Linked DNA regions of Ovis aries. The protein of the gene in region 1 interacts with the protein of each later gene in a biochemical or structural test. Links are inferred from orthologs where the notes say so. Each region holds a gene or a part of one and is shown on either strand. Other genes may lie near its edges. The genes, in order: TXNIP and SLC2A1.

Evidence for each region.
Region 2: the proteins of TXNIP (region 1) and SLC2A1 form a complex in vitro, tested with the Homo sapiens proteins (2 studies listed by BioGRID). The link is inferred for Ovis aries from reciprocal best matches to the Homo sapiens genes TXNIP and SLC2A1.

Annotation. Positions count from the first base shown.
Region 1 is NC_056054.1:99,309,247-99,313,616, reverse strand, and holds the start of TXNIP (thioredoxin-interacting protein), read left to right. Parts: upstream 1-1,346; 5' UTR 1,347-1,612; coding exon 1,613-1,862; intron 1,863-2,353; coding exon 2,354-2,426; intron 2,427-2,539; coding exon 2,540-2,687; intron 2,688-2,895; coding exon 2,896-2,998; intron 2,999-3,131; coding exon 3,132-3,388; intron 3,389-3,492; coding exon 3,493-3,649; intron 3,650-3,760; coding exon 3,761-3,966; 3' UTR 3,967-4,043; coding exon of another isoform or gene 4,044-4,079; 3' UTR 4,080-4,370. UniProt on the Homo sapiens protein: May act as an oxidative stress mediator by inhibiting thioredoxin activity or by limiting its bioavailability.
Region 2 is NC_056054.1:17,374,079-17,377,884, forward strand, and holds part of SLC2A1 (solute carrier family 2, facilitated glucose transporter member 1), read right to left. Parts: coding exon 3,801-3,806; intron 3,715-3,800; coding exon 3,527-3,714; intron 3,265-3,526; coding exon 3,160-3,264; intron 2,710-3,159; coding exon 2,608-2,709; intron 1,407-2,607; coding exon 1,203-1,406; intron 838-1,202; coding exon 637-837; 3' UTR 1-636. UniProt on the Homo sapiens protein: Facilitative glucose transporter, which is responsible for constitutive or basal glucose uptake. Has a very broad substrate specificity; can transport a wide range of aldoses including both pentoses and hexoses.

The DNA.
Region 1 (4,370 bases):
AGAGTCAGGGTTTCTTTTAGCTTTAACATACAGTGTGCTAACGATCCTTCTGTCTTTTCTTCCCTTTCTTACCTATTTCTAAACAGTTTAGGGGGGAAAAAAAAAACTTTCCAAAGACTGCAGAATGGTTCCCTCAAACAGAAATACGGCCATCTTTCCCTGACACTTTCCCTCTGACGATTGACAACTTTCCTGCTTTTAACTAATTTGAAGGCTGTGAGGAGTGTGGGCAGCAGATTTAGAGGTGTACCTCTGATTTAGTAAGTTGGAAGGGGGAGGAAGACGAGACAGTTAAAATAACTCAGGAAAAAGATGACTAGAGTGAAGCCTTTTTTTTTTTTTTTTTTTAATTACTTTCCTGGAGAAGCAGGGAGTGAGATACTCAGAGCCCAAAGAACACACTTTAACGAAGAGGTAATGAGGTAACTGAGAGACCATAAATAAAGTGTTCCCTAACTCTGCAGATCAGGGACTGAAGAGATGACGGGATAAGTGGCAGGATGTGGATACGCCCGTACTGTACCAGTCCAGAGAACAGAGAGAACCGAGTGGAGGACGCAGGGGCAGAGGCACACGGACCGGAGCCCCCAGCCTCCAGCCCAGGGGGCTAGAAAGGGAGTGGGGGATGGCTAATCAGTCCCATATATTCACTTTGCTGTGACCGCTGAAGAGAGGTTAAAAATTTGTGACAAGTTCTCTTTTCCTTCCCACACAGCCGGGATTTTTTATGGGGGGAGCGGGGAGGAGCAGGGGGTTGTTTGTTGATTTTTGAGAGATGCGGGGCAAGAGAAGGACAAAGCGGATCTTCCTCAACAGTAACGACTGCACTCCCTGTCCTCCGCCCCATCCTCAAGTATTCTTGGAGCTCTGGGATTGTTTTTCACACGACTTGCGATTTGTGAGCCGGGAATAAACAGTCACCTCTAAATTAATTACATTGGCTGAGGTTAGGCATGGAATTCCATCATAAGCACATTTTCCTTTTACCTCAAAATAATAGCTACCACTCCAAAAGCATCCACACCCGCCCTTCGAAGACCACTGGCCTCGGATAGATTTTGGGGTCAGTGAAGCATTCCTTCCTTGGGCACACGGGAAGCCGCCCCATAGCCCCTCCGCCCCCTCCTCCCAGCCCCGCAGCGATGCACAACAACCGTTTTCCCCGCCAGGAGCACACTGTGTCCACGCGCTGCTGCGACCTCGCTGATTGGTAGGGCTCCTGGTAAACAAGGAGCGGGCAGCCAATGGGAGAGCTGTGCACGAGGGGAGCACGAGCCTCCAGGCCAGCGTTCGCGTGGACCTGCCTGCCGGGCTACTATATAAACCAGTTTCCGGCTCTCAGTTGCAAACTATCGTTTCGTTTTCTGAGGTGGAACGCGTTAAGCCTTCCCGCCGAGATCCGGAGCTGTCCTCCAGCTGTTAGAAAGAAAGAGCTTATTTTTCTTTTGCAATCTCTTGATACAACTCGCGGCTTACATTTTTGGGTGGACGTGTTTTCGAAAATTCAGTAGAGAACTGAAAAGTGAAAAAGTTTTAACTTACAGCAAAAGGTCCTTTGATTGAGAGTTTTGTTTTGTCCTCATTTTTAACTCTTAAGCAGACCCAGCCCAACATGGTGATGTTCAAGAAGATCAAGTCTTTCGAGGTAGTTTTTAACGACCCCGAAAAGGTGTACGGCAGTGGGGAGAAGGTGGCTGGCCGGGTGATAGTGGAAGTGTGTGAAGTCACTCGAGTCAAAGCTGTCAGGATCCTGGCTTGCGGAGTGGCCAAAGTCCTGTGGATGCAGGGATCCCAGCAGTGCAAGCAGACGTTGGACTACTTACGCTACGAAGACACGCTTCTCCTGGACGACCAACCAGCTGGTAAGTGACCCAACTGTTTGCTGGAGGGTGAGAGCGGATTCAAGAAGAGAATTGATACGGATAAAGCCCACACTGTAGATCCTAAATTGCTCGGGTTGTGGGGTTTGAATTTTGTGTGGCTTCTTTATCTTTTTTAGCTTTAACTTGCTAACCCCTACCCCCACCCCCAAAAAAGGGTGATTTGTGCAACTTCTCAGGGTGCTGTGTTCTGTGGGTGATTCTGAGGGATGTTGACATAGCTATTGAAAGGTTTTTATGTCTTAATAAATTGCTTGTTCTTTGCTTGCTTCTTGTTTGAGATGATGATAGGTTGAGTCTTTCAGCACTGCAGGGCTTTGCAACTTTTTGCTCAGCGAATGCATCAGAATCTCATTTAAGAACATAAGGGGTTCTGCATTACTCTTGCACGCTGCCCAAGAATTCCTTATTGCATAGAGGCATTTTAAGTATAACAAGAAACCTAGAAGCTTCTCCTTTTTCTCTTCCTTCAGGTGAGAATGAGATGGTGATCATGAGACCTGGAAACAAATATGAATACAAGTTCGGCTTTGAGCTTCCTCAGGGGTAGGTAACTAAATGCATCTGTGATCTTATCTGTCTGTAAAAATCTTTCCCTCTTTTGATCAGTTACTCTTCTTGGAGAGCATTTTAAAATTGTTTCCTTTTTCTTGATAAAGGCCTCTGGGAACATCTTTCAAAGGAAAATATGGGTGTGTGGACTATTGGGTGAAGGCTTTTCTTGATCGTCCCAGCCAGCCAACTCAAGAGACAAAGAAAAACTTTGAAGTGATGGATCTAGTGGATGTCAATACTCCTGATTTACTGGTGAGATTCATTTTAAAAGTCTCTTCTTCTGGGTTTCAGAGATAAGTAGTTAGGTTTTTAGGGCATTAAAGTGAAGCCCGTCAGGGAATCAAGTCCTTAAGTCATCAAGGTGGGAGAGAAAACTACCTACTTTAAGCAGTGGAAAGAGAAGCAGAGAAAGGATCTCTAGAAATTCTCAAAACGTCTTTTTCCACTTCATTCTATATAGGAACCTGTGTCAGCTAAAAAGGAGAAGAAAGTTTCCTGCATGTTCATACCTGATGGGCGGGTGTCTGTCTCTGCACGAATTGACAGAAAAGGATTCTGTGAAGGTAAAAATCTAGTGCAGAAAATGAGAGACCCTTAAAACAGGAACTGTGGGTTTGGGAGTAAGGGCAGGAGGCAGGGACAGATTAAAAGTCATGGATTGCACTGAGCATCAGTTTTCATCTTTCTCATTGCCAGGTGATGAGATTAACATCCATGCTGATTTTGAGAATACGTGTTCCCGCATTGTGATCCCCAAAGCTGCCATTGTGGCCCGCCACACTTATCTTGCCAATGGCCAGACCAAGGTGCTGACGCAGAAGTTATCATCAGTCAGAGGCAATCATATTATCTCCGGAACCTGTGCATCATGGCGTGGCAAGAGCCTTCGAGTGCAGAAGATCAGGCCTTCTATCTTGGGCTGCAATATCCTGCGAGTTGAATACTCCTTACTGGTGAGTGGGTGGATGGGGTTGGAGAAAGAAATTGTTCATTGGTCTAAACGATAGTGGTGTTTCTCCAGATTTCTAGCCTAACAAACTGATGTCTTCCTTTCTAGATCTACGTTAGCGTCCCTGGCTCCAAGAAAGTCATTCTTGACCTGCCCCTGGTTATTGGCAGCAGGTCAGGCCTCAGCAGCCGGACGTCCAGCATGGCCAGCCAAACCAGCTCCGAGATGAGTTGGGTAGACCTGAACATCCCAGATACCCCAGAAGGTGAGCCAGACACCTGATCTCATTTTTTTCCCTCTGGCCTGGGTGGGTTTGTAAAATTGTGGTTAGGCTTTTCTTGGCTGGGCTTCTTATCTCCATGCTTTCTCTCTCTAGCTCCTCCTTGCTATATGGATAGCATTGCTGAAGATCACCGGTTGGAGAGCCCCACTACTCCTCTGCTAGATGACACAGATGGTTCTCAAGACAGCCCTATTTTTATGTATGCTCCTGAGTTCAGGTTCATGCCACCACCTACTTACTCTGAGGTGAGAATTGTCATTTACCACTACATTTGTCCTAAGCCTTTTATAGGAAGTTAATTTCTTGGGATTGCCAGACTGGATTGTTGTGTTTTTTCTTACCCAAACTAAAATACTCTTTCTTTTCTTCCTCCCAGGTTGATCCCTGCATCCTGAACAACAATGTGCAGTGAGCATGTGGAAGAAAAGAAGCAGTTATACCTACCTGTTTCTTTTCATCTCTCTTCCTGGACTCTTTGATTTTTTTAGAGACTCAACAGTCTCCACAGTGGGGTACAGGTCCACCCCAGCCTCTGACTCTCCAGTGTAGGAGGTGATCAGCAGGCAATCTCCTGGGCCTTAAAGGGTGCATATTCGTCCTCAGCCAGCGAGATGATGTGATACAGAGTTTTTTGCTAGATGGGTTTAAAAACACATTAGAAAAAAAACTAAGGCCCATCCCATTTTCTTGAATCTCTTCGAAA
Region 2 (3,806 bases), about 82 Mb from region 1:
AGGAGACTAGCACCTGGCAGCGCAGTCTGGCCCTTCCCCTCTCCTCCCTGCACTCCAGTGCTCCCAACTGGTCTCAGGCAAGGGAAGATTAATTTGAGTGGTTGGGTAGGAAGAGACGGGAATAGGCAAAACCTAACGGAGCCTGACCCCTAGGTTTGGGAGACCCAGGCCCACAGAAGGGGTGGCCATAGCCACCTCTTGGGGCAGAAGACTCATAGTTTGCAGTTTGATTAGTGTGTCCTTAGGTCATAGGTCCGGCCCTACAGATTAGCTTGGCAAAGAAGGCAAGTGTCTAGGCAGGGCTTGGTCCCCACCCTCAGGCACTGAGCCATTTAGGGTGAAGCCAGGGATGTGGGTGAAGGAGACTCTGGCTGATAAAAAAATAATAACAAAATCAGTAATAAAAAATTATAAAACCTGTTGCTTGTCTGAATAGATCTGAGCAACAGTCTTTTGTTAAAATCCTGGAGCCGTTAATGTCCTGAATATTCTTCTGGACATCACTGCTGGCTGAAGGAAGGAGCCCCAGGCCCGGGTCTGCTGAGATCTATCAGTTTGAGAGTCTCATCCAGCTGCCTGCGCTCTGAGAGATCCTTGGGCCACTGGGAGCAGACCGGGCTGGCGGTGTGGGGCACCTCACACTTGGGAATCAGCACCCAGGGGGTGGAACAGCTCCTCAGGTGTCTTGTCACTTTGGCTTGCTCCTCCCTGTCGGAAGCCAGAAGCAATCTCATCGAAGGTCCGGCCTTTTGTCTCGGGAACTTTGAAGTAGGTGAAGATGAAGAACAGAACCAGGAGCACGGTGAAGATGATGAAGACATAGGGTCCGCACAGTTGCTGAAAGACACATAGAAACACTTGGTTGGAGACCTGACCCTACATCCTGCCCTTAGGATGGACGATCTCTTTACCTTTGGGTCCTTGATCTGAAAAAGGGAACACCCACCTACAACCCAGGACTCTGCTGCACCTGGCATGTGGTAGAAGCAGATTCTGATGGCAGAACAGAATAGACAATTCAAAGCTAAGGGAAGAACCCTGGAGAGGAGGTCAGGGTTCTGAGCCCATAACCTGGCCTTCTGAGCCTGTTTCCTCCCCAGTGTGATTCCAGTAGGAACACCAGGGACAGCATTTTGCACAGCGCTATGGGGTCCTGTGTGCAGGAGAGAAACGCTGAAGTGTGGGGACTCTGGGGTTCTTACCTCCACATACTGGAAGCACATGCCCACAATGAAATTCGAGGTCCAGTTGGAGAAACCGGCAACAGCAATGGCAGCGGGGCGAGGGCCCTGGCTGAAAAGTTCAGCCACAATGAACCATGGGATGGGGCCTGGGCCCACTTCGAAAAAGGCCACAAAGCCAAAGATGGCCACGATGCTCAGGTAGGACATCCAGGGCAGTTGCTCCTGTTGAGGATGAGAGAGGGAAGGAAAGTTAGGCTGGGCTGTGCTGGGTCCTCAGAGGAAACCAACTCCAGGGGTAGCCCAGGGCAGGCTAAGAACTCTGGCAGGCAGGAGGCCTCGGGCTGGCCCTGGATTTGCTCTGTGACTTAGGTACCGGGGCCAGGTCTCAGTGTTCTCATCTGAACAAAACAGGTGAAGCCCTGCATGGTGGTTGTGAGCTTGCGACTGCCTCCAGGAACGGTCACGTAGTTGCACGCAGGAGGTGCTAAAAAGAGGTCCCTGTGGTCCCCTGGCTTTGGCTGTGGAGCAGTCTGCTTATGGCTGGAGGATGTGGAAGAAAATTCCTGGGGGTGGCTGTCAGAGGCTTGTAAGGTACCCAGCTCAGGACCAGCATTGGGCAGGCATGAAGTTCCACAGAGAGCCATTCTCGAGGAGACCACAGCAGAAGAGTTATATGGTTTTGTTCCAGATCCCAGATCCCCTGCTTATCACCTGGGGCATGCTGGGCCTCTCAGTCGTCAATGTACTCTCTAAGCCTTGGTGCAGCTGTAAAATGAGTGTCCTGGTGTTCTCCTTGCCCAAACACTGGATAAGCGAGTGGTGTGTGAAGTGCCTGGGATAAGGTTATCATAGAGGTTATAGTCACAGGCTTGGGGCCAGCAGACCTGAGGTTGATTCCTGGCTTTTTCTGCTGCATTATGAACCTCACCAGGAAAGGGGGTGGGGGGACGTTTCCTCACTGGAGAAGTAGAAATATTGACTGCACTACTCCTGTGCGTCCTGAGGACTGAGTGAGATAATGCATGTTTCCACGCCTCTGTGGTAAGGAGGGCATTGCTTTCTAGGGCTGTTTACAAGAAGAATTGGGGCTGCGGAGGAAGACTTTGCAGAGCAGCTCCAGGAGCAAGGCAACTTGCAGGGCTGGAGGTGTGGTGGTGAGAAAGCACCCGGCAGGGAGGAGCTGGTTCAGATAAGAGTGGAAAGAGACAGCCCAAGGAAGCTGAGGGTCTGGCCCAAGCCTGGGGCTGTGGGTGGGGCAGAACGAGGGGGAGGGCAGCCCCACCTGGGGTCTGGATGCCGCCGGCCAGCCTGGGGCTGAGATGAGCACCTTGGGATGCCCACATGAGCTCCCCCTTCCCCCTCCTCTCCCCCCCCCCCCTGCCCCCCCCGCCCCCCCCCTCACCCCCAGAGCACGGCAACTCACCAGCAGCGCCAGCGCGATGGTCATGAGCACCGCACAGCCAGCCATGCCGGCCAGGCCTATGAGGTGCAGGGTCCGCCGGCCGGCTCGCTCCACCACAAACAGCTGTGGGCACAGGGTGCGTCAGTGCCTCCCCTCCTGGTGCCCCTCTGAACACACCCCTTCCTCCAGGAGGGTCCCCCCAAGTGCTGGGAAAGCCACAGGGCCCTGCAGAGATGGAGTGGCAGATGGATCACCTCTTCCCTGGGGCAGGGTTCGGGGACTACATAGGATCCCAGGGGGTGAGAGCTGCCTGCGAGAGTCAGACAGCTGAGCATTCCGGCTGTGGCCTTGGGCCAGCCGCCGCACTTCTCTGAACATCAGTGTCAACTGTTTGATCCCAGTAATGAACTTGACAAGTTGTTGAAGATGAAATGAGAGAGCACTTAGGGAGCACGTGATGCCTGCCTAGCTCGCAGTAAAGACTGCTGTCTGGTCACAAGGCCCCGAGCCCCTGAGACCACAGGCTGGACCCCAGCTGCTGGCTGGCTGTGGGCAACGACACGGAAGACTCACCGACACGACAGTGAAGGCTGTGTTGACGATGCCGGAGCCGATGGTGGCGTACACAGGCTGCTGCACCCCCGCCTTCTCGAAGATGCTTGTGGAGTAATAGAAAACCTACCGGACACAGAGGCAGTCGGGGCTCAGCGGGGTGCTATGGCTCTTCCCCCGCCTCTGTCCCAGTGGGGGCAGGACACACGGTCAGTAAAGCATGAAGAGGACACTGCCCCAGGGCCCTTCTGAGTTTGGGCTCTAAAGGAGAGCTGCTCCTCTGGCAGGGGTCCGTCTGCTCTTTCAGGTGTGGGATCTGTCCACAGCACGCCTCGGGCTCCAGGGATTGGCGGGGGGGCACAGGAGAGGGTGGGTACGGGGCACTCACAGCGTTGATGCCGGACAGCTGCTGGGACAGCTGCAGCACCACGGCAATGAGGATGGGCTGGCGGTAGGCGGCCGAGCGGAACAGCTCCAGGATGGTGACCTTCTTCTCTCGCATCATCTGCCGGCTCTCCTCCTTCATCTCCTGCAGGTCGCGGGTCACGTCAGCGGTCCCACGCAGCTTCTTCAGCACTGAGGGGGCCGGAGGGAAGGCGGGGGCGGCTCAGCGCGGGGAGGAGGCCGGGGCCGGGGGCGGGGAGGGGCAGGGCCCGCCGTACCGCTCT